4 linked regions of the Notamacropus eugenii genome follow. Each later gene encodes a partner of the first gene's protein in a complex. Links are inferred from orthologs where the notes say so. Each region holds a gene or a part of one and is shown in the gene's direction. Other genes may lie near its edges.

The links.
Region 2: the proteins of TGFB3 (region 1) and TGFBR2 are in contact, whole or in part, in a crystal structure (PDB 9B9F), measured with the Homo sapiens proteins. The link is inferred for Notamacropus eugenii from reciprocal best matches to the Homo sapiens genes TGFB3 and TGFBR2. Residues at the interface, in NP_001316868.1 of Homo sapiens: Arg325, Lys331, Trp332, His334, Tyr390, Tyr391, Val392, Gly393, Arg394; in NP_003233.4 of Homo sapiens: Leu50, Phe53, Asp55, Ser72, Ile73, Thr74, Ser75, Ile76, Glu78, Val100, Asp141, Glu142.
Region 3: the proteins of TGFB3 (region 1) and ITGB8 are in contact, whole or in part, in a cryo-EM structure (PDB 8VS6), measured with the Homo sapiens proteins. The link is inferred for Notamacropus eugenii from reciprocal best matches to the Homo sapiens genes TGFB3 and ITGB8. Residues at the interface, in NP_001316868.1 of Homo sapiens: Gly262, Asp263, Leu264, Arg266, Leu267, Lys268; in NP_002205.1 of Homo sapiens: Ser156, Ala157, Ser158, Asn161, Arg206, Gln210, Cys211, Tyr214, Leu216, Ser247, Gly248, Asn249, Ile250, Asp251, Thr252, Glu254.
Region 4: the proteins of TGFB3 (region 1) and TGFBR1 are in contact, whole or in part, in a crystal structure (PDB 9B9F), measured with the Homo sapiens proteins. The link is inferred for Notamacropus eugenii from reciprocal best matches to the Homo sapiens genes TGFB3 and TGFBR1. Residues at the interface, in NP_001316868.1 of Homo sapiens: Ala301, Leu302, Asp303, Asn305, Tyr306, Tyr350, Leu351, Ser353, Thr357, Thr360, Leu364, Leu368; in NP_004603.1 of Homo sapiens: His39, Leu40, Thr42, Lys43, Phe55, Met70, Ile78, Phe84, Val85, Lys91.

Annotation. Positions count from the first base shown.
Region 1 is NC_092878.1:59,219,861-59,227,516, reverse strand, and holds the start of TGFB3 (transforming growth factor beta-3 proprotein), read left to right. Parts: upstream 1-4,636; coding exon 4,637-4,988; intron 4,989-7,656. UniProt on the Homo sapiens protein: Transforming growth factor beta-3 proprotein: Precursor of the Latency-associated peptide (LAP) and Transforming growth factor beta-3 (TGF-beta-3) chains, which constitute the regulatory and active subunit of TGF-beta-3, respectively.
Region 2 is NC_092874.1:24,448,992-24,456,066, reverse strand, and holds the start of TGFBR2 (TGF-beta receptor type-2), read left to right. Parts: upstream 1-4,063; 5' UTR 4,064-4,541; coding exon 4,542-4,635; intron 4,636-5,082; exon of another isoform or gene 5,083-5,273; intron 5,274-7,075. UniProt on the Homo sapiens protein: Transmembrane serine/threonine kinase forming with the TGF-beta type I serine/threonine kinase receptor, TGFBR1, the non-promiscuous receptor for the TGF-beta cytokines TGFB1, TGFB2 and TGFB3.
Region 3 is NC_092874.1:12,854,807-12,862,109, forward strand, and holds the start of ITGB8 (integrin beta-8), read left to right. Parts: upstream 1-4,298; 5' UTR 4,299-5,798; coding exon 5,799-5,931; intron 5,932-5,946; exon of another isoform or gene 5,947-6,474; coding exon of another isoform or gene 6,475-6,532; exon of another isoform or gene 6,533-7,303. UniProt on the Homo sapiens protein: Integrin alpha-V:beta-8 (ITGAV:ITGB8) is a receptor for fibronectin. It recognizes the sequence R-G-D in its ligands.
Region 4 is NC_092872.1:65,598,495-65,605,487, reverse strand, and holds the start of TGFBR1 (TGF-beta receptor type-1), read left to right. Parts: upstream 1-3,980; 5' UTR 3,981-4,094; coding exon 4,095-4,344; intron 4,345-6,993. UniProt on the Homo sapiens protein: Transmembrane serine/threonine kinase forming with the TGF-beta type II serine/threonine kinase receptor, TGFBR2, the non-promiscuous receptor for the TGF-beta cytokines TGFB1, TGFB2 and TGFB3.

The DNA of each region.
Region 1 (7,656 bases):
GAAACAGAAGAAATCTTCATCCAAGACGTATCTTGGCCCAGAGCTGGTGGGCTAGGGTGTTAACTGGTGGGGAGCTGCAGGTAAGAGATGGGGCAGCACCTCTGCACCCAAGACCCTCTCATAAGACCTAGAAGAACATAATGTTCCATTGGGGGGCTTCATCTACCAGGGTAGCAGACTCACAGACCTTGACCTGCAATCCTAATTAAGGTCTCTCACTCCCTTCTTGGAAGGATGGAACTCCAGGAGTGCACTGTCCAGTACAGTAGATGAGCAACAGCCAGGATGAGGTCAGCATGAGTATGTCGGCCTGGGAGAGCAAGGACCATGAACAAATCTGCACCAAACTAGGCACTGCTATGAAGGTGGGCATTGCCATGAGGGTGCCAGGTGAAATCATTCTGTTCTGGGTCATCTTCATCATTGTCTACAACACCAGCTTTTACACCCACAAGTTCAAGGAGCACTTGTTTGAGCTTGCTGTGTACCTTTTCAAAAAGGTGTCCATCTACTCAGAGACCCCCTACGTCCTGACTCAGACCACCAGGGCAGGCTGGCCCCTGGGGGCACGTATACCTATAGATATAGACACATACACAGGGACAGATATGGACACAAACTGAGTCTCTTTTCAGAGAAAGAGAGAGACACATACTAAGAGTGACAGACACACAGATAGACATACACTGAAACAGACACTGGACAGAAGTAGAGACAGTCATACATGGCGACACAGACAGACAGACAGACATACACACACACACACACACACACACACACACACACACACACACACACACATCTCTCTCTTCTCCCCTGTCCCAGGACAGAACTCCAGATCAAGCCATCCACATCCCACCCTTGCCCTGCCCAGGGAGAGTTACCACATTCAGTTATTGAAGCCCAGGGCTATATCTCTCACTCATTCCCTCCTTGGTCACCTTCTCATTGACCAGATGACCTCTCCCTTGGACCTGTGGTTGCCCTTGACAGCCAGATATCCAAGAAAGATGAGAAAGACCAGGGCACGGTTTTATGCCTCAGAAACCTTTCTGCAGTTCTGGTTTATGTTCAGAACTGGAGTCAGATCCAGGTTTCCTGTGCAGGTTCTACCCACCCTGCCCCATTCTTTGTAAGACTAAGACCTAGATGGGAGGAAACCAGGGAATGCCGCACAGGAAACTCAACACCAAAGTGGGACTCGGATGAGAATCCAGGTCACTCCTAGGGTTTAATTTCTGCCCATCCCTCCTCCAACCACAGGTGGTGGGGATAAAATCTGCCTCCCATTTGCTATGACCTCTCCCCACATCCCTGCCCTGCCACTCACCACCAACTCTACTGTTTGAAAAACTAGACACAATGTGAACCTGATTTCAACATAAATTTGTTGAGAAAGAGAAGGCAGTGGCCCACTTATCTCCAGGAAAAAAAATTAAGGGAGGCAGCATCATGTATGGAAAAGAGATATTTGGTTCAGATCCTGACTCTCTCATTCATGTGTGAACATGAGGAAGTCACACCTCTGGGCCTCAGTTTCCTCAACTGTAAGATGAGACTATATGGCTTTGAAGGTCCCTGCCATGGCTAAATACATACTTCTGTGGCCATGATTCAATATGGAATCCCAGCAAAGCCAATGGTTCCCATGGTTCCTGGGAATCAGCAGGGAAATTCAGACTTATCCCCAGCCCCAGGGATGGAAGTTCCTAGGTCCTCTCATAGGCTCACAGGCCCACAGCTGTGTTACTGGCTTCCTTATGTATGTGTATGTGGGGGGGTAGGGGGGGGCAGGGAAGGGTAAGTTCTTAGCCTGTCAGCTCTGGACTCATTGTAAGAAGTGTCCCCTCTAAAGTTATTCCTTGACCCCCTCCTCTGGATTTGCCCTCACTTACTGTACTAAGTCCCAGGGAATTCTATCCCCTGGCCTACCTTAAAGGAAGAAAACCCCAGTGAATCTGAATGGAGGGCCTGATATTTCTGATGACCCCTAGCCACAGGTGCCAGTCACAAAGACTCTGGGAGCCAGCAGAAAGTAGCCCCCATCCTGAGGAGTCTTCCCTCCTGATTTGTGACCTTACCCAAGAGGCAGAGGCTGAGCCAGGGATGACTAGGGTATTCTAGGATTTGAGTGCCGACCTCCATACCCCACCCCCTTCTCTTTCCTTTCCAGAAAAACAGAATAAAATAATGGAAAACAAGGAGGGGGGAGAGCAGGATTCTAATAAATAGCCACTTGTGTGACCTCACACAGTTCCCTCTCTGAGTCTTAGTTTATTCCTCCTAAAAAGGACAAGATAGTTTCTAGGGCAGAATCCTAACTATTGATCCTGGCACCGGCAGCTATGATGGGTTAATGTGGGGGCAAAGCTGGCTCACTTGGAATACAGCTCTTTGGATGTTCTACAATTCTAATGAAAAAACCTGACCCATGATACCCCCTTTGTCCCCTTCCCCCTTTCTTTATCCCCAGTGGTCCCTCTTGGGAGGTTACAAGAAGTAGTTAATATAAAGAGATTTAATGGGAATTGGACAACCTGGGTCGTTAACCTTGGACATATCTCAAAAAAAAAGAAAGAAGGCAATTTGATATATGTGTTGGACACCTACACAGTGTCTACCCCTGCATCCGCTCTCAGTCCTTTATCCCCCATGTTCCCTTTATCGGGCCCTGCTTTTCAAATTGTTTCAGATCAAAAAGAAAAGAAAAATCCGGTAAAACTTTGGTCTTAAACTCTCAGTCGGTGTCAGAATCTGACCACCAGGGGGCAGGGTTGATCTTTTGATAAACCCACCCTCTTTCTGCTCCTCTGGAGCACCTCCAAGCCCCACAAAGCCCTCTCACTCCCCAGATCTTGTCAATGAAAAAATGGTGCCAGGATCTCTGAGGAGCAGAGCAGAATCCCGTTAAGAAGAACTGAATCACCTCGACAAGCGAGGCTTGGCACAGCCACTCCTGCAAACAGCTAGCACACACGATTCCCCAAAGTCCTTCCTCCAGGCAGGGTTGGGACTGCCCCTCCCGACCTGGCAGAGGAGGGGCCCCTTGGGTTACAGTTGGGTTTTTTTAAAGGAAGAATTGACAGCTAGGGGAGAGGGTGAAAGGAAGAGTGGAAGGAGCCCCAAGGAAAGAGGAGAGTTGACCAGGGTAACTTTCCAAAGGAGGTGTATTAGAAAACTGCCCTAAAAAAAGAGACTCCAGGAAACAGGGAAGAAAGCCCAGTACCACGTAGAATGAGAGGATTTGCAAAGTATTTTCAAATGGGATCTGCTTTTCCTGTGCCTGTTTAAAACATTAAAATTGTGCTGAATATGAGGCTGAGCTTGCTAGTCACTCCCTCCCCCCATCCCCAGCCAAAGACGTCATGGGAGGGAGGTATAAAATTTCAGCAGAGAGAAATAGAGAAAGCAGTGTGTGTGTATGTGTGTGTGAGAGAGAGAAGGAGAGGGAGAGGAAGAGGGAGAGAGGAGGGGAGAGGAAAGGAGAAGAGAGAGAGAGAGAGAGAGAGAGAGAGAGAGAGAGAGAGGAGAAAGAGAGAGAGGAGAGAGGAGAGAGAGAGGAGAGAGAGAGAGGAGAGATCAGAGGCAGCAGGGACGTAGCAGCCAGCAAAAAGCAAGAGGTAGGAGAAGAAAATGAGAAAGAAGGAATAACATTCAAGAAGGAGGAGTACAGTGAACTGCCTTGTTTTATTTTATTTTTATGGTTTTTTCTTTTTCTTTTTTTTAAAGTGAAGCAGTGAAAGAAGCAATGACCAAGGGAGAAGAGAAGCTAAGGTCCTGGTGACCCTGGGCGTCCAAGTGGATTACTGGGGCCAAACTGGAAGGAAGGCAGAAACCAGGTGCCTAGTCCTTCTGGTTACACGTAATCCCAGATCAGCAGCCAATGAAGACGAGAGGCAGCGAGTGACAAAAATAATTTCAAAAGCCCTCGAGGAAATGTAAACCAAGGGGAAAGTATGAATGGTGTGTCTGAAAGACAAGTGTGCCCAGCGCTTCCCTCTGTCCCCAGCCGGGGACGCTGGCCCGGCCCGGCCCAGCCCTGTCACCGGCCCCTCCTTTCTGGGGATCTGATTTTCTTCCTCTCTTCCTTCTTATTCTGGGCTCCCCACGGATACTGAATTTGGAAACTAAACACTGTTCTTAGTCTCTCTTCAAAACATCGACTTTGTCCCTCGTTGTCAAAGTAATATTTTGGGATCTTAGATAGCAGTTCTATTTATTATTATTTTTTCTACCTAAGGAAAACGCCCCCATTCTCCCCATTTCCCCCTCCAAACCTCCCCCCCACTCCCCACCCCAAGCCTTCCTTACCCCCTCTCTCCCCCTACTTGGTGCTCTTTACCTGGTTTGCCTGGAATCCCAGCCCAGCGGAGCCTGTGCAGACACATGGAGAAGGATCCCAACCTTGCAAGGCACAGAGCCTGCTTCTTCCTAAGCTTTGCCAACGCTTCCTGGAAGTCCTGAATCTCACTGCAGTGCAGTGAGTTCATGCACCCTCTTGCCAAGCCTCAGGCTTTGGGATCTGGGGAGGCTGCATCGAAAGCTCTGCCTGGTTTTTCTAACTCCTTCTGCACGGCTCCTGGTCTCCTTTGCCAGGCCCAGCTGCTCCCCTGGTCCCCCTTCCCCTGTTTCGCACATGAAGATGCACTTGCAAAGGGCTCTGGTGGTCCTTTCACTCCTGAACTTTGCCACAGTCAGTCTGTCTCTCTCCACTTGTACCACCTTGGATTTTGGTCACATCAAGAAAAAGAGAGTGGAAGCCATTAGGGGACAGATCTTAAGCAAGTTGCGGCTCACCAGCCCCCCCGAGGCATCAACGCTGGCCCATGTGCCCTACCACATCCTAGCCCTATATAACAGCACCCGGGAGATGCTGGAGGAGATGCAGGAGGAGAAGGAGGAAAGCTGCGCTCAGGAAAACACTGAGTCGGAATACTATGCCAAAGAAATCCATAAGTTCGACATGATCCAGGGGCTTGCAGAGCACAGTAAGTCCCAGCTCTCGGTTGGGTGTCACCTTGGGAGGGTCCCAACTTGAGCAGAGACTTGATAGAGAGAGTCCAGGGCTTCGGTTTTCTGAGCACCTAAGGCTCAGGAGGAGCTGGGAGGGAACCAAGACGATTCTGGGCTGTGTTCATTGCTTCTCCCCGAAACCCAGCCGCCTCATGCCAAGGGTAGAACCCATCCAGTTAAAATCCTTGACAGTTATTCATGGGGGGGGGGGGGGCACTGCACTGCCTGCGGTATATGCGTGCTCACATCTATATGGTGATACGGGTAACCGCAAGCATGTGTGCTGTATTAAAAAAAAAAAAAGGCAGAGTGAGCCAGAGGAGAAAGCACGGCTCTGCAAGTCTGGAGACCTGGATCTTTTCCCTGGTTTTCTAGAGCTCATTGTGACACGTCTCTCTCTTAGTTTTTCCAATCATTCTTTGGGGGAAATGATGTTTGTTATGGAATAAGGTTGGTTAAAAAAAAAACCAAACCCTTTTCAAAGATGATAGCTTTCCCTAGCACACTGCAGTAAGCATGTTTCATGTGCTGGATTTATGGGGGTGAGTACATATATGTTCATCTGTGTGCCCTCTATAAGCTCCCATCCAACTCTCCACTTGCTTCCCACTCCCTCCTAGGGAGTGACTGACTTCAAATGTTCACACTATCTGTGGAACACACACCCACCAGAAGAGAGAGGAGAGGAAGATTGATGGGCGAGAAATGGGTATCTTTTAGGCTTGTCTGGTGAGGGAGAGCAGGCCTGTGTTTTACTGTATATGTCAGTGAGATGCTTTGGGCTTTTTATGTGTATAATGGTACAGCAGACCTGGATGTGGGTGAGATGGGCAGATGGGTGTGTGTGTGTGTGTGTGTGTGTGGTGTGTGTGTGTGTGTGTTTATTGTCAGTGTGCTAGAAAAACCGGGGATCATCCGTATTTTTGATGCCTCTGTGTGTATGTACATGTGTGGAAGTCATGTGTGTTAACAGAAAGGGAATTTAAAAATCCCAATACAAGGGAAGGAAATTTGGCAGATGTCAAGAAATAAACTGACAGCTCGGGCACAGATGTGAGGGACTTGTGGGAAGACCTCTGTTTGCCCATCCTACCAGCAGGTGTCCTCATGGTCCCTGGCAAACTGGTCGGAGGGAGTCAGACAGACTTGGAAATTTCTAAAGGGGAAATGGTGAAAATCAGTGAGGCTGAGGGGCCAGATTTGCCTGTAGACTGATGATTCAGAGAGGCCTTTGGTGGGGGGGACTAAATAGAACCAGCAGAGTAACTGAAAATGCCTTCAAAGAAGGATATATTCATGCCCTGGGGAGGATTTTGTCTCCATTTAAAGATCACAAACTGTTAAAGCAAAGGAAGGCCTGATTCAGTCTTCCTTGTGCCAAGCTGAGGAAGCTGTGGCCGCTGCTCATGGGTAAATGCTGGCTAAAATTTTCTTACTCCCGCTTTCTGTGGCTGCATCTCTCTTCCAATGTGGCTGGAGTTTCTCAGATTGAGGCTCTGGACATAAAGGATGCCTCTCCCCTCCTAGGATCTCTCAGGGCATGCATGGCACCTTCTAGAGGCTGATGCTTCCCTAGGGGTCTGGAATTTCCAGTGCTAGGTGGCACCTGCATTACTGTATCCCCAATCCTAGGGAGTGGGTGGGGAAGGGACTAGAGGCTAGAGGAAGGAGGGGACAGACGAGAAGTGTTGTTTGTTGTAAAACTGATGCTGAAGGGAAAAAATAGGCATGTTATTAAAGGGTGGTGGAAGGGAGGGAAGAGGAGAGAGAGAGAGAGGAAGAAGAAGAAAGAAGGAGAAGGAGAGCAGAGAAGAAGAGAGAAGGAGGGAGAGAGAGAATTATTAATAGCAATCAATCAATATTCATTAAGTACCTACTATGCACCAGGCAGTATGCTAATCTGAAGTCACAAAAAGAAGCAAAAGAGAGCTCAAGGAGCTCACAATCTAATGGTAGAGATAACAAACACACCAGCAAACAAGTTCTATACAGGGATAATAGGAAATCCTAACAGAGGAAGACATTAGAGTTCAGAGGCATAATAATTAAAAATGTAGAAGGTGGGATATGGAACAGTTGTTCTTCAGTTGTGCCCAAGTTTTCATGATCCCAATACCGTCCATGGGATTTTCTTCGCAGATTCTGGAGTGGTTTGCTGTTTGCTTCTCCAGTGGATTAAGGCAAACAGAGCTGAAGTGACTTGCCCAGGGTCACACAGTTAAAGAGGGTCTGAGGTCACATTTGAACTCAGGTCTTCCTGACTTCAGACCCATGGTTCTATCCACAGAGTCATGTAGCGGCCTTCATAAGGAAGAGTAACAGTCCCTAAATAAAATAAGGACTTTGTAGGACCCTAAATCCAGAGCTGGAAGGAACAGGAGAGGTCTAGCTCAGACCTCTCCTTTCTGAGATGAAGAAACTAACGAACAAGAAGTTATGGGAGTTCACCAATGGCTTAAAAGCCACAATGCCAACTTAGACCCTCTGACTTCCCGGTCTAGTCTTCTCCCTGCTGCTTTACAGACTTTTGGCCAAAATTAAACCAGTGTGATTGTGTAAGAAACAGAACAGAACAAAAGCAGATTTAGGGAGAAAACCAGCAGGTCCAGAGGAGGCACCCATACAGTCAGTCAGTATATTCTA
Region 2 (7,075 bases), on another chromosome or scaffold:
GCAGAAGCCACAGAGCAACAAAGTGAAAGAGATTTCCATCCAAAGATAACCTGGAAGGCTGACAGGAAAGGTCTATTGCACAGGACTCTGAGCAGAGCGGGGCCTAGCCCTGACCATGCAGCACCAGGAGGAACAGGACCAGAACAGGCCTCTGGGGCAGAATTCCTAGCAGGGAGGGTCTCAGATCCCTCAACCCACAAATGTCAAAGAAAGCTTCAAAGATCAATGAAAGGGCTTTCCCAACTGGGCAAGAGGAGAGCAGGGTCCCCTCCAGCATTGGCCCCAGGCAGGGGCAGCAGTAGCAGTGGCGATGGCAGCAGTGATGGTGGCAGCTACTGCATCCATCTGTGAAGCACGCTGTCTAAAGCCCCTGGGGGAATTGAGTAGCTGATCTGAAACTCAGCCTTGAGCATGGTCCTGGGGTAAGGAGGAGGACCAGGACCCTCCTCTTGACAAAGGATTCAGAAGTCAAGTAACTGGCTGGGAAAATGTCCAAAAAGGGGGGGGGGGGAAATAAGACCATAGAAGGTTACTTTCCTAGTGAATAGGTATTTCCTTCAATCCTTTCAGATGAAGAAGCACAATGCATACTGTCAGAGGAAGTCAAGGCTTCTGCATCCAGTACCTCCAAAATGCAATATGCAATATTGAATATGCAATAGGCTCAGGCCACGGAAGAGTTTGAAAAGCAAATTGACAGCTTGCTAAAGGAGACCCCCCCCAAAAAAAATGCTGAAGAAAATAACACTTTTAAAAATAGGCTAACTCATTTGGAAAAAGAGGTCCAAACAGCCAATGAAGAGAAGAATGCTTTAAAAAGCAGAATCAGTCAAACGGAAAAGGAGGTTCAAAAGCTCACTGAAGAAAACAGTTCTTTAAAAATTAGAGTGGAGCTGAGGGACTCTAATGACTTTATGATAAACCAAGAAACTACAAAACAAAACCAAAAGAATGAAAAAATAGAAGATAATGTGAAATATTTCATTGGAAAAACAACTGACCTGGAAAATAGATCTAGGAGAGACAATTTAAAAATTATGGGACTACCTGAAAGCCATGATCAAAAAAAGAGCCTAGACATTATCTTTCATGAAATTATCACAGAAAACTGCCCTGATATTGTAGAACCAGAGGGCAAAATAAATATTTAAAGAATCCACTGATCACCTCCTGAAAGAGATCCAAAAAGAGAAACTCCTAGGAATATTGTAGCCAAATTCCAGAGTTCCCAGGTGAAGGAGAAAATATTGCAAGCAGCTAGAAAGAAACAATTCAAATATTGTAGAAATACAATCAGGATAACACAGGATCTGGCAGCTTCTACATTAAGGGATTGAAGGACTTGGAATAGTATTTTCCAGAAGTCAAAGGAATTGGAATTAAAACCAAGAATCACCTACCCAGCAAAACTGAGTATAATATTTCAAGGGAAAAAATAAATGGTCACTCAATGATATAGAGGACTTTAAGAGCTCTTGATGAATAGACCACAACTGAAGAGAAAATTTGACTTTCAAACACAAGAATCAAGAGATCCATGAAAGGGCAAACAGCAAAGAGAAATCATAAAGGATCTCTTGAGACTTTTCTCAGTATTTGGGTAGGTAGAGGGATTTTATACACACACACACACACACACATACAGCACAGGTTGAGTTGAATCAGAAGGGATGATATCTATAAAAAAATAAAATTAAGGGGTGAGAGAGGAATATATTGGGAGGAGAAAGGGAGAAATGGAATGAGGCAAGTTATCACTCATAAAAGAGATAAGAAAAATCTTTTTCAATGGAGGAGAAAAGGGAGGAGGTGAGAGGGGAAAAGTGAAGCTTATTCTCTTCACATATGGTTTAAGGAGGGAATAACATGTTCACTAAATTTAGAATGAAAATCTATATTACACTACAGGAAAGTAGGAGAGAAGGAGACAAGTGGGGTGAGGGGGATGATAGAAGGGAGGGCAAATGGGAGAAGGGAGTAACTAGAAGCAAATACTTTTGGGAAGGGACAAGGTCAAAGGAGAGAATAGAATAAAGGGGGGACAGGGTAGGATGGAGGGAAATACAGTTAGTGTTGCACAGCATGACTATTATGGAAGTCTTTTGCAAAACATATATAGCCTGCATTCAATTGCTTGCCTTCTCAGTGGGGATGAGTGGGGAGGGAGGAAAGGAGAGAAGTTGGAATTCAAAATATTAGAAACAAATGTTGAGAATTGTTATTGCATATAAATGAGAAATAAGAAATACAGGTAATGGGGTATAGAAATCTATCTTGCCCTACAAGAAAAGAGAGAAGATGGGGATAAGGGAAGGGTGGGGTGTGATAGCGTATGCTTGTCCTTCATTGCCAAAGAAGACCATGCCATCAGAGAAATAATGACATGACTTGCACTTGACTTTGTTTTAAGTGAGGGAGGGCTATGCAGGTCACCAGCCTCACTTCTCCTCCAGAGCCATCTGAATCCAATGACCAGATATTCATCAGGATGATTGGAGATGACCCAGGATGTGGCAGTTGGGGTTAAATGACTTGCCCAAGGTGACACAGCTAGTGAGTGTCAAGTGTCTGAGGGGAGATTAGAACTCAGGTTCTCTTGACTCCTGCACTGGTGCTGTATCCACTGCATCACCTAGCTGCCCCCAGCTAGGTGTGATAGAAGGGAGGGCACATTGAGGGAAGGAGTAATCAGAATGCAAGGTGTTATGGGGTGGGGGAGAGGGGAGAGATGGGGAGAAAAATTGGAACTCAAAGTTTTGTGGAAATGAATGTCGTAACTTAAAAATAAAAAGAAGGTTCAAGAAAAAGGAAGGTAGCATGTGAGCTGAACACAGATGGAAACGAGGTATTACAAGAGGCAGAGGTGAAAAGAGAGCGCCTTCCAGACTTGGAAGACAGCCTGTAAAGAGGCATGTAGATGGGAAGTGAACAATAGTAAGTATGCTGTAGGATGTAGTAAGGGCAGTACTATATACAATCAAGCTTAAAAGGTAGTTTGCAACTTTGTGGAGAAAGGCTTTAAATGCCAAGCTGAAGAATTTACATTTGACACCAAAAGTAAGAGAGAGCAACCGAAATTCACTGAGCAAGGGAGTGACAGGGTCAGAGCTGTGCTTTTGGAATACCTATCTGGCAGCTTTGTGGAGGATGACTGGGAAAGGGGAGACAGCGGAGACAGAGAAACCAGCTCCAAGTCTACCGGGTTGTTGCACCCTTCCTCAATAAGACTTTAGCTTCCAACTGCAGGAAGGCCTTTAGGACACCCTGTATGATCTGAAATGACCACGAGAAGGCAGGGACTGTTGAACTCAGCCTTTGTATCTGTGATGTCCATCACACAACTGGGTTCTTCATAAATGTTTGTGGTTTGAGCAGGGTAAGGCCTCTTTTCCAGGCATCAGTCACGGTAGCCCTGCAGTTGTCAAAGACACTTCAGGAAAGCCAATGGCATTTAGGGAAGGGCTGGAAGAGCTGGCACGGTGAGACAAAAGCCGGGAACTGGAGGCAGAGCTTTGACTTTCCCAATTAATGCCTTGGAAACTTCGGGTACCTCACTTCTCCTGCAGCCCCTGTTGCAAAATGAAGGAAATTGGGGGATTTGGGTCAGTTCAAGGGTGGTTTATTTTAACCCTTTTATGTTATGGATCCGTTCTCTGAATCGTTTTTAAGTGTATAAAATACTTCGGATTATAAAGGAAACCAATTTTTACCAAAATAAACTTGATCAGAATATACTAAAGAAAAATAAGTTCATGGACCCCAGGATAAGAAGCCCTGGCCTATGGACTTCAAGGTCCCCTGCCAGTTCTACAGTCCCTAGGATCCTAGATTCCCACTGGAGCTGCGTGCCAGGGGCCCTGCTGAAGTTTTGTTCTTGGAATTTAGACCCTTTCCAAGGTCAACCTCTTTCGCTAAAATCGTCAAAGGCCTGAAAGTTTGAGAGCGTGCAGGCTGGTGAGCAGAGTGGGTGTGGTGGGTGGGTAGGAGGGGGTGAGAGGGGGGAAGGGGGTGGGGAAGCTGAAGGGTTGGCCTGGAGAGTGATTGACGCCCGGGCAAGTGAGGACTTAGAGCCGAGGGGAGCCAGAAGGAACTGCTAAGAGTGCTGCGGCTTCTGCAGCGGAGAGAGGTCCTGCCCAGCTGTTTGCGAAGATTTCCTGTTTCCCCTCCAGCCCAGGCTCGAGAAGTTGAGTGAGTCACACGCACGCATACCCCCACACACAGCTACACACACACTCACACACACACACATCCATACAGGGCGAGCCGAGCCGCTGCAGAAGAGCAGAGCCCCGCGGCCAGCCTCTGGGGCCCCCAGCCCGGCCCGTGGCCCGGACGCCACATCTGGCCTGCACATCTGCCCAGGGAGGGAGAGCCGGAGCTCAGGCGCACCAGGGGCCAAGCGGGACGAGCGGAGCAGAGGCGGCCCGGCCAGTCCAGTGGGCTCCCCCTCCTCCACCCCTTTGCTCCTTCTCCTCTTCCTCCTCGCCCTCCCCGGCTGCTGCCCGGCTCCCGCTCTATGCGGAGGCGGAGCGGGCTCGGCCATGAGTCGGGCTCTCCTGCGGAGCCCGGGGCTACTGCTCCTCTTCCTGTGGACGCGCATCGCCAGCACCATCCCTCCCTACGTCCAGAAGATGGGTGAGTTCGGCGGGGCCCCCGGACGGTGCCCGCCTCGGGGGGAGAGGGGCAGTGCTTGACAAGCCGAGCTGCCGCGGGCGGAAATTGGGGCAGTTTGTCCCGGGGCCGGGCCGGGCTGGCCGGCCATCGGAGGAGCCCCTGGGGCTGCGCGGAGCCCAGCTCCGCCGACGGAACTTGGCGAGGAAGTTTGTTCAGTCTGCCGCCGGGCCTGACTTTCTCTCTAGGCGGGCACCGCGCCGTGAGCGCAACAGCCCAGTCCTAGGCCCCCTGCCCAGCCTGCGCGGGGCACACCTGGCCGTGTCAGCCTCGGTTCCGCGCACTCTGGGATCTGGGACCAGCCCCTCCTGACTCCTGAAGGTGTATAACACGCCGATCTCGAAATCATCGGGGTGCAGATGCCCCGGCTCCCCTTTCCAACCCCATCATCAACATTTATTAAGTTCTTACCGTGGAAGTAAAGCAGCAAACATTCATCAGGCGCCTGCTATGTGGCAGACACTGAGCTGTTCGCTGAATACGATCACTGCCCTCAAGGAGCGCACTATCTAACGAGCAAGACAGTTTGTAGAATAGTGTACGTAAAAGCCCCAGATCGAGTCAGAAATATAGTGTACTCCCTGAGCCCAGCGGACCGATGTGACTGTTTCTATTACCCAGTATAAATCTGGTACGTGCAATTGTTTGCATGTGGTCTCTTTCCCCTCCCCACCGAGGCCAGCATTAGTTTGTGAGCTCTTGGAGGGCTGAGGCTGTGTTTGCTCCTTGTTTGTAAAGGCATAGTTTAGCCAGTACTGCCCACTCGGACCTTACTCTTTAAGGCCGGGACGCTACAGGTAAACACATGAGTTGGGCCTAGTTGGGGAAGGCCCTGAGGCGGGAGAACCTGGCTAGGATCTCTCACACTTTCTCTTGTCCCCAGGCTACTGCCTTGCCTTTCATTTCAGAAAGTGAACTAATTCTTTCTTTGCTGGCTTGAGGTGGGCCCCCAGGGGCTCTGAACCCTGGAAGAAAGAATGATTTCCAGGCTCCACCTTAGACTGGGTGGATGTCTAGAGCTAGGTAATACCCCCTCCCTTCCTTGCATTTTATTGTTCAGTGGGGTGTCTAACTCATCATGGCCCCATTTGGGGTTTTCTTGGCAAAGATACTGGAGGGGTTTGCCATTTCCTTCTCCAGCTCATTTTTGCAGATAAGGAAACTGAGGCAAGTAGGATGAAGTGACTTGCCCAGTGTCTCACAGCTAATAACTGTCAGAGGCCAGATTTTGAACTCAGGGAGGTCAGGTTTTAAAGACTCCAGGCTTTAAAGACTTCATTCACTGCACCACCTAACTATCCCAGAAATCATAGAGCCTCGGTTCAAATCCCACCTCAACTTGTATGATCCCGAGCAAGTCACTAATCCTCTCTAGGTCCTCAGTTTCTCAGTAGAACAGGTAGGTTGGACTAGATGGGCTCTAAGAGCCGTTTTCAGTTCAAACCATGACCCCGTGATCTCCAAGTTCCCAAATGTTCATGCATCTAGTGAATATCCATTTACTAAGCATGACCTTTATGCAAGACAATTTGCTAAGGCACAAAATGTTGAGGGACTTTTTATTGCAGCCCCCCTTTAATACCTGCTCTGTGTTATAGGGTGCAGAACCCCTGAAACCTAGTTGCCACTGGGTATTGGCAAAGCGACTAGAGAACTGGACCCAGCTACTGCCCGTTACTAAACAGAATATCTGAGATGGGGTTTTTTCCTATTATTGAACATGAAGTTTCAAGAGAACTATTTTTATTCAAAGAAATATAAGCACAGCGTCAATTAAATCCCTAGGTCCTCTCATTCATCTGTTCTGGGACTTATTAAATGCTACATGCCATTCTTGGAACTTTGCTAGTTTGTTAAAACTTGTCCTTTTCTTCCCCCAGAACTGCACCTGACTTATTGGTATTCAGTTGGTTTTCAGTTGTGTCTGCCTTGGAGGGTCTTAGGTAGCCTCCTCCTGTCCCTTCCTTCCAGATATATTATCATTCAGTCAGTGTCTGACTCTTCATGACCCCATCTGGAGTTTTCTTGGCAAAGATATTGGAGTGGTTTGCTGTTTCCCTCTCCAATTCATTTCTACAGATAAGGAAACTGAGGTGAAGTGACTTGCCCAGGGTCACACTGGTATAAGTGTTTGAACTCAGGTTTTCTTACCTCCAGGTCTCAGCACAGCACCACCTAACTGCCCCTACCTGACTTATGAAGTGATAAAAGAGTTATTTAATTAATTTCTTAGTTATTTCTGTTGATGGGGAAAGTTAAGGTCAGTGTGGTTCCTCTTTATAAATGAGGGAAGGATGGCAGAGGATGAAGAATGGTTAGTTGGAATCTGAAATACTGAACTATTTGAGACTTATTTTGTTTACAGCTAGCCTATTGTAGACTCAGATAGCTCATTGCTGTGTCC
Region 3 (7,303 bases), on another chromosome or scaffold:
TGGCAAGGTGAGATATAGCATGGCACAACGTAGAGGGGCTTACATCCTGCCTTTGACACATACAAGTTGTGTGACCATGGATGGGTAAGTAACTTTTCAGCTCAGTGGGCCAAGGTAACTAACATAATACATTATATCCTAAGGGCTTACTCCCCCAGAAAAAAAACCAATCACAGTTTCTGCCCTCAAGGAGTTCCTGGGGAAGGAGAGGGAAGATATTGTGACATGTACATAGATAAGTAGAATCCAGGATAATGGACTAAAAGGGAAAAGTTACAGGCAAAATGAGCTTAACAATATTTGAGAACACTTTGTTGAGGGATTGAGGGAAGATGTCATTGGAAAAAGTTGCCCACGAGGTGAAGTTTTGAGTGGTGTAGGTGAAGAAGGAGTTTTAGTTTAGACACAGGGATCAGTTTGTGTGGAAATGTGAGAGGAGGAGAACACATTGCTCACCCTCAGAATCCAATGGATTATTTCAAATTCTATTATTAGTAGAATCTTGAATGACCTGAAATAGATCCATAAGCCTCCTTTAATTCCCCTTCAATACTCAGTTACTTTGGTAGAACAGACGTAGACAAAAATACATCACAGAGCAAAACGGTTATAGAAAAATAAGTTGTATGACTTTGGAGGAATGATGTCAGAACATAGGTGGTGGCCCATAGGTGTGGAGTGAGACATATGTTTTGGGGGCCTTGGTCATTTTGTGCATTTGTTATACCTGAATTTACTTATTTCTTACAAGGAATTGTTCTATAGGGGAGGTATTAGGAACTTACATTAGAGTAAAAAGGAGAATTATATAAATAAAACATGTTTTAAAAGAAAATTCCTTTAACCTTATCAATTTCACTAAAAGTCAGCAGTCAATGTTTACATTTCCCTAGTGATCATTTTTAAATAGATTCTCATTTGAATTTATATGGTGACTAAGATGACACTTTCAATTTATACAATCCAGCTTCAAAACTGAAGCACAAAAGTCTGCTATGCTGCAGTGATCTGACCTGATCCAATCCTGTGTTTGTCTTGAGTGCTGAGCCTGCTTAGAGACCCATAGTCCTCCTGGGAATTATGAATTCCAATGCTTTTTCCTAATTGTAGCACTGCAAAGTCTCAAGGGTGGCTGCATTCCTAAGGTCTGCAAAATGATCTCTGGAAAGTGTGCATGCTGCCTTTTAAGATGGGGATGAAGGGTTTCCTCTTTTGGATAAGGTTATTAAGAATGCACAGAGCTGGGACAAAGCATCTGCATCCTTGGGTGAGGTTTAAAATGGGGGGGGGGGTGTTGGAAGAGCATTAAAATTTGAGATTCCTGTAGGGTGTTCTGTACCAGAAGTTTGTTTATTTCAATTCAATCCGACAAGTGTTTTTAAGCACCTACTATGTATCAGTAACTGTCTTAGGCACTGAAAATTGAGAAGCAATATGTTTAATAGCCTTTGGCATCAACGAACTTGCAATCTGCTTTGCGGGGGGGAGGGAAATCAAACAGAATCACACAATTAAGTAAATATAAACTATACATAAAACCATACTTGAAGAACATCTTATAGAATTGAAGTTCCTTGTGATCAGGAACTATTCCATTTTTCTCTTTGTATCCCAACAATTAGCATTGCAGCTGGGACAAAATTGGAAAGTAATAAATGTTGTTTGATCAACTGGGCAAATGTAAGGGGGGAGGGGTAGATTGGAGAGGAGAGAGACTGGATGCAGGGACACCAGTTAAGAGGTTGGTATGTGTACATCCTTCGTTGTCGAAGATGACCATGACTTGCGCTTGACTTTGTTTTGAGTGAGGGAGAGCTGTGCAGGTCACCAGCCTCACTTCTCCTCCACAACCATCTGAATCCAGTGACCTCATCAGGATGACTGGAGATGACCCAGGATGAGGCAGATAGGGTTAAGTGACTTGCCTAAGGTCACACACAGCTAGTGAGTGTCAAGTGTCTGAGGTGAGATTTGAACTCAGGTGCTTCTGACTCCTGCACTGGTGCTCTATCCACTGCACCACCTAGCTGCCCTAATTAAGAGGTCATTGCAGTAACAAAGCATGAGCTGATGAGAGACTGAATTACGGCAGAGACTAGGTGAGTAGAGAACATGGGATAGGTGAGAAAAGATGTTATGGAGACAGAATGGACAAGACTTGACAACTGATTGGGTACGGGGTGTAAATAGCAGTACAGAGTAAAAGGTTGACTCCAAGCCTGAGAGACTATAAGGATGATGGTGCCCTCTACAGAAACAATTAAGTTAGGAAGATGGGTTGATTTGGGGGTGGGGGGAAGCAAATGAATTCTGTTACAGACCTGTTTCATTGTAATCCCCAGATTTCACTTTACCACAAGTTTTGTGACACAGAGTTTTCCTATGAATAGAATTTCTTCCAGGGGCAGGAACACCTGAGTGCCAGAAGGCAGGGCAACCAGGGTCAGGAGGGAAACTGTTGCCAAGCACCTTCTGGCTTCTGTTTTCTCACCTACTCTTTGGGCCAAAGGCACAACACCTGAAGTGGGGGAGGTTTCTGGGCATGGGGCCACTTAACTTGCTACTTTCCACTACTCCAGTTAGCAATTAGGCAAGAGAAAACAGAGCCGCCTACTTAGTAAATGAGTATGGAAACTATTGGTCATCAGCCCATGAGCTTTAGATCTAGAAGGATCCTCAGTGATCATAGAGTTAGACCCCTTCATTTTCCAGAAACTTCCCAGTTTCCAGAGGAAACTGAAGTCTTACATGAGCATCATATTTGAGTGGAGAAGTCAACGGATTGGAAGTCTCAGAAGATCTGGTGGATCAGATGCCAGCCCTGCTCCTTATGATCTGGGTGACCTCAGACAAGGCATGTGATCTCTCTAGGCTGAACAAATGCTCTCTAGAGTCCTTTCTTCATAATTCTAGGTCCTGTGACCCTACAGAAAGTACTTTCGGGAGGAATTTAGGAAGCAGGCCTGTAGTACTTGAAGAGGACCCCTAGGGGAAGATGTGGAGAGGAGTGAAGAAGATGAGAAGTCCTGGGCCACTTGGGGTCCTCATTATGGAAAGGAGTTTCCAAAGTAATTAGGAGAGAGAGGGGGAAAAGGGGAGAGGGAGAGAGAGAGGGAAAGGGAGAGGGAGAGGGAAAGAGAGAAAGAGAGAGAGAGACAGAGACAGAGACAGAGAGAGACAGAGACAGAGAGACAGAGACAGAGAGAGACAGAGAGAAGAGAGAGACAGAGACAGAGACAGAGAGACAGAGACAGAGACAGAGACAGACAGAGAGACAGAGACAGAGAGACAGAGACAGAGAGGGACAGAGAGACAAAGACAGACAGAGAGACAGAGAGAGACAGAGAGTGAGAATGAGGGGGAGGAGCAAAAGGAAAGAAAATGTAAGGATGCCAGCCCGAGCCCCCTGCCTCCAACTCCCCTCCCCTTCCATTTCACCAGACTGTGCAGATGGGGATACTGATAACTTTTTTCCTTTACCTGTTCCAAGGGGTCCCAAACATTCTAAATGCTTTTGGTGAGGGTAGTCAATTCAGAGGCAGGGGGACCAGTTAACTTTGCAAGAACAAGCCTATACAACGGATACCCTTCGAAAGAAGAACATTTGCAGGGAATGAGGGTGGGGCATGCAGAGGTTCCAGCCTGGCCATAGTTGGACGGTGGCAGTGAAAGGGCTTGGGGGGCAGGCTGCATTCACCACTTCCCCATTTTTCTCTACAGACTCCAGGTCTGGAAAGGTCAATGGATCTGTCTACCTCTCGATCTATGTCTGGTATCTCTCTGTGTGTAGGTCTTTAAACTCTGTTCTCTCGGGTCGCTGTGGACCCAGGCTACACTGAAGTGGGGCGAAAGCTGAGCCACCACTTAATGATGGGTGAGAACCCGGTACTACCTGGAGTGGAGTGGCTGAGGCCAGCTGGGGGAGGGGATGGCCGCGGGGGAAGAACCAGGAAGAGGGCCACACTCCTATGCTACTGACACCCGCCTGCCTAGGACCCTCAGAGCTGGGGAGCAGGGGCGCATGGTGTGATCGGAGGATGCAGGAGAGCGTTGACAGCTATGGGGATCCCCCCACAGTGGGGGAGCAGCTCCTGGTCAGTGAGTACATCGGGATCAGCGGGCGGTCTGCCGGACCAGCTAGGCGTGGAGGCGAGCTCTGTGAACCGCTGCTGCTCAAGCTGGAGAAACGAGAGGGAGGCTCGGGAAGCTGATGGGGCTGGGAGGGGGTGGGGGGAGATGCTGCTGAAGTTGCGATGTGGACCGAGTTCAGCCACTCAGACCCTGGGGTAACGGGGAGGGGGGAGCAAGGGAGAGAAAACACATTCACATCCAGACGCACTGGGCTGAGCAAAACAAAGAAAGAGTGTGGGCCGGTGACTTCATGCTTTACCAATGTCCCGCCCACGCGCCCGCGGCCGCCGCGGCCCCAGCCCAGATCTGCGTGAAACCCGCGCTGGTCTCTTAGCAACCGGCCAGCCGCTGAAGTTGCCAGGTCCCAGGCAGTCCCAGGCTGCCCCGGGGCCCCGACGGGACGATCTGGGCCTAGCCAGGACCCCCTCCTGCGCAGCAGCCCCCTCCCCCAGATCCCCGCTGCTGGGAGCTGCCCCCCGCTCCGGCTGCGCTCTAGGCCCCTGGACTCTGGGGGCTGCAGCGCCTGGACAGCGGCGAGAGCCTCTGCTTAGTTCTCTCTTCCTCTCTGGAGGGGGAGGGGGGGAGGAGAAGGAGGAGGGGAGCCCATCCCCCTCTTACCTCTTCCCCCCGGGACGTACCCGGGGCCCCTCTAGTCCCACCACACCCCCCGCGCCCGCCCCCTTCACCTAGTCTCCAAAGCAGCCTCCGCTGCCCGACTGCCTAAAAACTCGACGGCGCCGCTGCTTGTGCGCCGGGACTGGAGCGGGTCCCGCGCGCGACTTCTGCCACCCGGGAAGTGACACCGATTCCGTGTCTCCTCTGCTCAGCGCCAACCCAAGAGGGGCTGATCTTTGGGGCCGTCCATTGCCTCCCTCCACCAGGGCCCAGAGGCTGAGGTGAGCAGGAGCTGGGCGCCCCAGGAGTACAGGTACGGCGGGGCTGCCCACCTGTGGCTCGGCTGATCTGCCCACCTGTGGCTCGGCTGATCTGCCCACCTGTGGCTGGGAGCCTCTTCTTCCCAGCCTGGGACTGTCGGTTCTCTGCGCCGGGCTGAGATCTCTCGGCCCGGCGCCTCTCCCCCCAGCCCCCGCCTCTCCCCCTGGGCGCTTTGTTTGGGGCCAGCTCCCGGCGGAGCTGATTTATGCCGCAGCAGCTCCGTCGGGGGCGGCCTCGGGCAGAGGCTGGGAACAAAAGCCCTTTGTCCCGGGCCGACCGAGCGGGGGCTGGGGCGCGGGCAGCTGAGCCGGCCCCCGTGCGCTGGCTCCGAGGCTCGCTCTGAATGAAGCGGGACCGCCCGCCGCTGCCCTTCTCCACAGCCGCCGCCGCGGGGCCCCAGCCGGGCTGAGTCCGCCACCCCTCTCCGCCCCCGCCTCCGCCTCGCCTCGCCTTCGCGCTCGGTCCAAGCTCTCGAGCCTATTGTGCGAAGCGCCCGGATTCCTGCGGTCGTTCTGACATGCTGTGCCCCGCTCGGGCCCTGGCCCTGCTCCTGCTCCCTGCCAAGAGGGCGCCCCGAGGCACCGACCCCTGCCAGGGGCGGGAAGAAACGTGGGACTAAAACTTGGCCCCGAAGGACTTCCCCGCCGGGCTACCCCGGACCGAGGCGGGAGACGAGCCCCAGAGCCTGAAGACAGCCTCCAGGAGGAGCCGCCCGCCGGGCGCTGTGAGCGATGTGGGGCTCGGCCTTGGCTCTCTGGACTGCTGCCGGCATGGTATGCCTGCAAAAGGGCCGCCGAGCCCCGGGGCCCGTGCTCGGGGCCGCCTGCCTCTTCTCCATGGCTTTCGGACTAGGACAGAGCGGCGGTAAGTGGTCTGCCTTTGTGGGCGGAGTGGCAGGGGTCTCGGGCGCGGGGGGCACACTGCCTGCCAGTCAGCTGGCACTGCAGCCAGATAAAGAGAAGAAAGCGCTGGCTTTATCAGGAGAGAGGCTCCGGCACCTGGACTGACTCAGGCCAGGTTTCAGCTAGTGGCTAGCTGCGGAGCTGGCAGGTCTGCGCGTTTCACAGTTGCCCCCCAGGAGGTCCCCGAAGCAGGTGCCTCCGGCTGGGCCAGGTGGATCACGTTCCCTTCGCTCAGGGCCAGGGATTAGGGACAGCACAGTGAGAAAGCCTGGAACTGGAGAGCCTGGAATCCAGCTTCTGTTTACTAAGAGACTAAAACAAAGTTAGACATTCCAGTGCCTCCTTGGAGAAGGACACTCTACAGTCTATGTTCCCAGTCCTCATTTACTGACCCGGAGACCAAGGACTGACTATTCGATCGGATGTGGGGGCAGTGAGGCAGATTTCCTTGGTCCTACATCCATACACGGAGAGGGCCAGTTAGCCCAACCTATTCATTTTACAGATGGCGAAACTGAGGCTCGGCGAGGTTAAATGCTTTACCCAAGGTCACACCGGCAATCGTAAGTGGAAAAATAGGAATGAATCCATGTACTTTGACTCCAAATCCAGTATTCTTTCCACTCCAGTGCTCTGCCTTTTAACTGAGAACTGTCACTTAAACATTATAGCTACCATAATAAACACATTACTGCAAATCCCCGTGAGGGAGGAAGAGGGGAACAGCACTGGCTCTGAAATCTGAGGGCTTGGCTTTCAATCATGCCTCTGGCATTTATTTGACTTGGGCCAGTCACTTATAACTCCATGGGTTCCAGCTTGCTCCCCTGGAAAAGGAAGGGGCTCCTAGGTGACTTCCAAAGTCCCATCCACCTTTAGAACCATGATCAATGATCTATCCCTCCTACCCCCTGCCACTCTCATTCAGGTAGTAGCACCAAGTGGTCCTTAGCCCCATGGAATACTAGGGTACATACTACACGGCCTAGCCTCTTTGTGCAAAAGACCTTTGCCTGGAGCCCCCCAATCCTATAAGCTAGAGAGCACACAGATATTAATATCCTATTTTACAGAGGAAGAAACTGAGGCCCAGATAAGTAAGGTGAGTTGTTTCAGAGCTAGGATTCAGAGCTTTGGGACCTCCCTGACTCCCTCACCATTCACTCTGGCTTCCTCTCTTAAGTCCTGATATCAGGACCTGAAGGATCTCTTGGTTTGAAAACAGTTAAGTTCGTCTCACTTATACTCTTAACTTTGCCAGGGTCTACGTTTTTTGAATTTTGATGTTCACCTTTACGTCAGCCCTAGGAACACCTTCCTTTGACCTCCCAAGA
Region 4 (6,993 bases), on another chromosome or scaffold:
TTTAAGGCTGCAACATTGAACTTCCTATGCCTATAATGAGATTCCTTGATAAATGTAACTACAGAGATGATTTTTGTTCAATGACGTTTTCATTATTAATACATGTGGCATAATAAATTGGAGATGTATATTGCCAAAGGTGCTTGCCATTGTCATGGGGACTATCTTGTAGGGAGTCCAAAGACAAGGAAGATTTCCTGTAGATAATGAGGCCCTCCAAGTGTTCTTATTTGAAGATGATATTGGGTTAATTATATCAAGCCTCAGATTTCTATATGGCCTCCTAAAGAATATCAGGATAAAAGATGGCTAGTTTAACTCTCCATGTAGGAAAGAACATGAGTTAAAAATTCATTTCAACAAACACCTATTAAGCACCTACTATGTGTGAAGTACTCTACTAGATATTGGGGATATAAAGTTAAAAATTAAATACTTCTTGCCCCCAAGCAGTTTATATTCTACTTGGTTGGTTCAATGTGGGTCTGGATAATGATGTATGTATCATTTGTGTGTGCATATGTATATGTGCATGCACACACTGACACAGACACTCAGACACACATGTGGGGAAGTAAGCACTATAGGGGAAAATGCCTGTTGTCTACTGTGGACCATAATATGCAGTTAGGTGTGTAGTCTATAAAAATATTCTATTAGTATATATATATACACATACATATGTATGTATGTATCTTGGAAAGACATCACAGATGAACAATGTTCCCCTTCCAAGAACACAGAAGAATCATGGAAGATTAAATGGTATAAATTGGTTACATAGTTGGAAGTATTCCTATCAATCAGAAGAAATATTGAAATATTTCCAAAGCGATAACCTATATAGTAATCAAAGATAGTTCAAAACTACTTACATGTAATATACATAGATTACATAGGAAAACAATTACCTTGAATTACAGTGTACAGTTTAAAACTGCACTAAGATATTGGGAACATCCTGCATAGTTTTAATTTTTTAAAAAAAGTTCAGTGACCCCATTAACAACTCCTGCTCTAGATATTTCATTAATTATCCTAGTTTGCCTAAGACTCATATTCCTGAGGTGAAAAATAGCAGACTTCCTTTAGCTGTAGGATTTTACTTTCACTTCCAAGAAATGTTTGATTACCCTTTACTTACAACTTGTGTTAGGAAAAGGCCATTTGCCCTTCCAAGCATCTTGCTCCTCACCTCCTTCCTCTCTCTTAGTGACTAAACAGGGAAACAGAAAGATGTGACATACAAAGACATCCATATTTTCATAATAGCTCAAGACTGAGATCTGAGGTGGTGGTATCATAGAATCAGTGGATTTGATATATTTTCCAAAATATCATCCTAGAATAGCTGACATAAAATGCATTTCATGAAAATTGACTTGAGAATTTGAGGATTATTATTGTCTTTAGTCAATAAACGTCTATTAAGCACACATATTAAGCGCCAGACACTATCTTCAGTTCTGGAGATATATAAACAAAAAATAAGACAGTCACTATCGAGGAAGCCAATTCACAAAAGGAAGCTGAAAAGGGGAAGGGGCGTCTGGGACCCACTCGGAAACCAAGTTGGGCAACTGATGGAAAATAAATATTTGAAAAGTTCTGAGTTGACTGCTTAGCTTTCCAGCCCCTAGCTCCAAACTAAGGGGAGAGGCAACTCAGGAAACAGAAGAGGTGTTGGATTATCAAGATTATCAAAAACTGAGTCAGTCCACATGACGATGAGATTTCAGGTGAGGAATTTATTCTGGGGGAAGGAATGAAGTTCCTGGAGTTGAAACCAAGCAAAACAGTTGATTCTAAATAAGACTAGTAAGATGGAAGCCCTTATGGAGCCTGGAGAGATACAATTAGTCAGTGTCTATCGGAGACTTTCTGAGGGAGAGAAACACTGTATCTAGTCCACAAACACATTCTAATCATTAGAAAAAAAGCTAGATCAGCAATTAGAAACTTTTGAGAGTGAGACATCAAGTCGCCGAACCCCTAAGAAAGGAGATGGTTAGGAGCAGAAGTGTTGACTGCTTTCCTTTCTGTAAGCAGACGGCACGCAAAGGTCTCTAAATAGAGGTGGGGAGGAGTGGGGGGGATTGTGTCTCAGGCTTTTGTTGTGTCAGACTCACAGTGACCCTACTTGGGGTGTTCATGACATAGATACTGGATTGGTTTACCATTTTCCTCTCCAACCCATTTTTCAGATGAGAAAACTAGGGCAAACAGGGGTAAATGACTTTCCCAACGTCACACCGCTAATAAGCGTCTGAGGTCACATCTGAGCTCAGGTTCTCCTGACTCCAGGTCAGGCGATCTATTCACTGCTGCCCTGTGTCGCAGGCACCAGTGAGTTAATTCATTTATCTTAACAATTTAAACTCCTTAAATACAAGCCACTCTGGGGAGGATTAAAAGCTATATTCATTTGCATCAGCCCTAATCACTATTACTCCCACTCTTACTAGGCTTTTAAAGTCTCCAGATTTAAAGGTTTTCTTAACCACTTTTATTAATACATTATCGCCCAAACACATTTTAAGGGAATCCATAAATGAGGACAAGTTCCTTATCCAAGTCAAAAAGTCAAATCAATAAGCGTTTATAAAGCTCACCTACTTTGTGCCAGGCACTAAGGGTACAAAGTCAAAAACTCCTGATCCTCAAGGAGCTCGTAGTCTAATGGGAGAGACAACAAGTAAACAACTATGAATATATGTGTGTATATATATATATATATATATATATATATATATATACATATATATATGTAAACAGCATAAAGTGGAGATAATCACTGAGGAGAGGTATTAGGGGGAACTGGGAAAGGCTTGTTGCAGAAGGTGGGATTTTAGCAGTGACTTGAAGGAAGCCAGGAGACTGAGGCAAGGAGAGATCATTAAGTTTAAAAAAAAAAAAAAGGATTGAAGCCAAATAAATGGAAAATAGATATTGAAGCTTTCTGTTAAAAAAAAAAGTTTAGCGTTAAAAAACTGCATAGTATTTGTATCGAAAGTAAAAGTATTTTATTGCAGAATCAGAAGTCTGGCTGCTAAATTATTTTGGCACATACTGAAGTGAAGGTGGGAGGAGTGTCTCTCAGCCGAGAAAATCAAGAATGGAAAAGTAGTTCAGCTTATTTTCGTCTTGAAGGAAACCAAAGATTCCCCAAAGAGGCACGCTGGATACCCGTGGTACTGCAAACACCGCAGGTTTTAAACATTAGCCACTTGTGGTTGCAGAACGGGCTGCCTCGTCTCGGCGGCGAGAGTTCCCTCTACCCCTTCCGAGTTTCTCCCGAGTTTATTTGACTTCATGAAAGGGGCGAGCCAGAGAGGCAAGGGCTCTTGAGTCCCGGGGGGTCTCGGCGATCGTGCGTGCGGTGTAGACCGCCTTTCCCCCATCCCGCCGCTGGAGTGGTTAGAAAACGGGGCGGCCCCATTCCGGCCTGCTCGGCTCTCCGGGCTCAGTTAGTAAGAGTGGTGAAGCGCAGACGGCCCCGAGGTCACGTCTCCGAGGGCTTCGGGGGAAGGGGGGCCGTCGGAGGAGGAATGGGGAGTGGGGACGGAAGAGGGCCCGGAGCTGGCGGCAGCTCCGGAGTGGCCCAGGGCGATAACGGTCCCCTGGGAAGGGGGTGCGGCCGCCCCGGTCCCCGTGCACCGAGCGGAGAGAGGCCCCCAGTCCTGAAGTACTTCCCCTCCGCGGGCACAACATGCTGGGGCCCCTTGGGCGCCCCCCAGCTCTAGGGACCCCAGAGCCCCTGGCTTCGGCGGCCGCTTCCTCTTCCAGTGCACGGCTCACTGCTCACCCCCCCCCCCCCCCACTTCTTGCACCATCCGAAACCTCCGGCGTGGGGGGACGCGGGGTGAGGGGGTGGGGCTGAGGAGGGGGCGGGGGAGTCCTGGGAGCCTGGGAAGGAGGCGGGGTGGGAGGGGTGAGCCTGTGGAGGGACTGGGAAGGAGGCGGGGGCCCGGCCGTTCCCGGCGCCCTCCGGCCCCGGATTGGCTGCGGCCCTGCGGGCCGGGCTCTCGCCTCTCTTGTTGTTCTCCCGTCTCGGCAGCTGCCGGGAGGCGGGGCCGGGACGTCCCTCGCAGCCAATGGGAGGGCCCCCCCCGAGCAGTTACAAAGGGGCCGAACGAGGCCGCGGCGCGAGGCGAGGCTCTCTGGTTCCTCGGGGCGGGGGCACCGAGACGCGGCCCCGGCCCCTCGAAAGGACCCGACGCGGACTACGACGCGGGACCATGGAGGCGGCCGCGGCGGCGGCCGTCGCGGGGAAGACGACCGTTCCCCCCCGCTACCAGATGTTTCTCCTCCTGGCGGCCGCGGGGCTGGTCCCAGGGGCGACGGGTGAGCCGCAGGAGGGGGGAGGGGCCGGGGCGGCGGCGGAGGCGGACGGGGGCGCTGGGGCCGCGGCCCCTTTCTCCAACATGGCGCGGGCCCCGGGGGCGCCGGGGGTGGTCGGGCGGCTTGCGGGAGACGGAGGAGGGCTCCTCCCGGGGCTCCGCCGCCGCCTCGGCCAGACAGACCGCAGACGGAGATTGTGAGGAGGCGGGGGGCGGCGGCGGGGAGCCCGGGCTCGCGGGGCTGGCCTCTCCGCCCGGGGCCGGGAGGGTGTCTGGCGGGGGGTGTCGCGGACTCCTGACCCCCCCCCCCCAGCCCCGCCGGAGCCTCCGGCCCCTCCTGCCCCGAGTGCGGACCTCCCCTCCCCTATCTTTGTGCTGGCCCCGGGAGCCGGGGGCTAAGTAGGTGTGAAGCGCGGCGGCCGCTTCCCGGGTGCCCGGGGTGGGGGGGAGGGGGTGCGGGCGAATTCCATCACCAGATGACTAAGAATTATTTTCGCCCTAGAAACTTGTCTGAATATTTGCTCGGCGTTTCGAAATGTTTGAATGGGAATGACTTTTTTTTTTTTTTTTTACACATTCATCCAACACGTGTTGGGAGAAGATTTGTTTTTCCTCCTCTTGCTGCTAAATCAGATTTCTAGTGGGAGAGAGATGACTATCACGAGGACGGCGGCAGGGGAGCTGCCGCTCTGGGAGGACCCGGTTTTCTGGGACCCGAGCGAGGGATCGTTTTAGGAGGTGGGGAGGCATACCGACTGGGCAGTGCTTTTTCGTGCACGCACAGAAACGCCCTCAAAAAATAAGTAAAACCACCCAAAAAAAGCCCCTAACCCACCTAAAACCTCCCATCTTTGGAGCTGAAGAGTGACGTTGGTGGAAGGAGCTCCGTCCCTAGCGTTAGGCTAAGCCCTGCAGATACAAAGAAAGGCCAGCCTGGGTCCGTGCCCTGGAGGAGCTCCCTTCCAAACAGATAACGTGAATTACCTAGTGCTTAATCGTCTAATCTGGGCTGGAAGCTCCAGCCCTGGGAGGGATCTGGAAGGCCAGTGGGGAAAGCTGGGTTGGAGATGAGACTGGAGAGTCCAGGAGAGGAGGGAGAACTTTGCAGGTGTGAGGATCGCGTGAGAGGCACCAGTAAGTAGTGGTGTAGCGAGATAGTGTAGAGTTAAGTTGTAGCAACGCTGCAAAGCCAGGCAGCGTTTTCAGCTGCTAGGGAAGGCGTTTTCTATTTGGTCACGTTCCTGTGCTCTGGCTAAGATGCTTCCAAATTGGGCTACCCTGGGCTGGGAGGTAAAGTCTCCTGTGCCTTGGTTTTCTTATCTGTCCGTTGAAGGGATTGGGCAAGATTATCTCTAGGGCCGCTTTCAAGTACTGAGCTCCGATCCTATGAAATTACGTGTGTGTGTGTGTGTGTGTGTGTGTGTGTAATTCTGTTTGTTATTGATTTTCTTTTTATATCTTTTAAGTCACCTTGGAAGCAGTTGACCTAACAGTATTTGATTATTTACTCTGTGGATTTACCTCCACAAATTTTAAAATGTCAAAGCGCTTTTCTGCTTTCCAGTGTTCCGTTTATGGCTGTCAGTAGATGTTAAGGGATTACTATTCTTTTTAAGATGGGCTGCAAAAATGCTTGCTTTCTTTTGATGTGGATACCCTTTCCCCACCCCCAAACTCATCTTTCCTTTTGTGTGATTCTTTTTTGTATGTTTCCATAAACTTCCTATGGAGCTTTTTCCACAACAGCCCTTTCTAGGGTTTTTTTTTTTTTAACCAGTACAGCACTTGGGCTGTCTATCTGTTAATCCTTGCTTTTGCCACATGACTAGGACACCCCTACTCCTCTCCTGGTCCTTTATGTTATGGATGACATATTTTATGAAAGAATTCTACATCTGGCTTATATTTTATATTTCCATTACCTATGGAAGTAATATTTAGAAGACAAATTGCTGGAAAAGTAATAAATGTATTCTAAAGGTAAATATAAATTACTTGTGAATTATCCATACCATTTAACGCGAAAAGTTGATTTTACTGCTTTTTAAATATTAACATTCCAGCTTTGTATTTGGGTAACATTTTTTGAGTGCCTTTTCTGTGTAGAACATTGCATAGACATTCAGAAGTCACAAGTTCTATGTGCTGGACTATGCATAGAAATGAGCAACTTGGAGCTGTGGAAAGGGCATCGATTGGCCTTGGCATCAGATGATACCTGACCTATCACTTCAGGCCAAGTCGTTTAACTGTTAAAAAATGGAAATCATAATTATACTCCCTCCCTTACCAGATTGTTGTGAGGAAAGAGCCTTTAGTATTTTATAAATAACTTCCTATACCTTGGAGGTCCTTTGGAGGGAAGGCACAAACCCAGAAATCAATTACTTAACAAGTATTTGTTAAGCAGCTGCTATAGACCAGGCATTATGCTGGTAATATACCTAAAAAGAACGAAACAATTCTGACGAGAAGTTTATAGTCTAATGGGAGAGACAAGTATGTATATAGATATATACAGTATAAATACAGATATATACAAAGTTGTAAAATACAAGATATTTTAGCAGTTGGAGGAAATAATGAAAGGTTCATGCAAAAGATGATCCTTGAGCTGTGTCTGAAAGTAGGATGGGCAGTGGAAGGAAGGAGA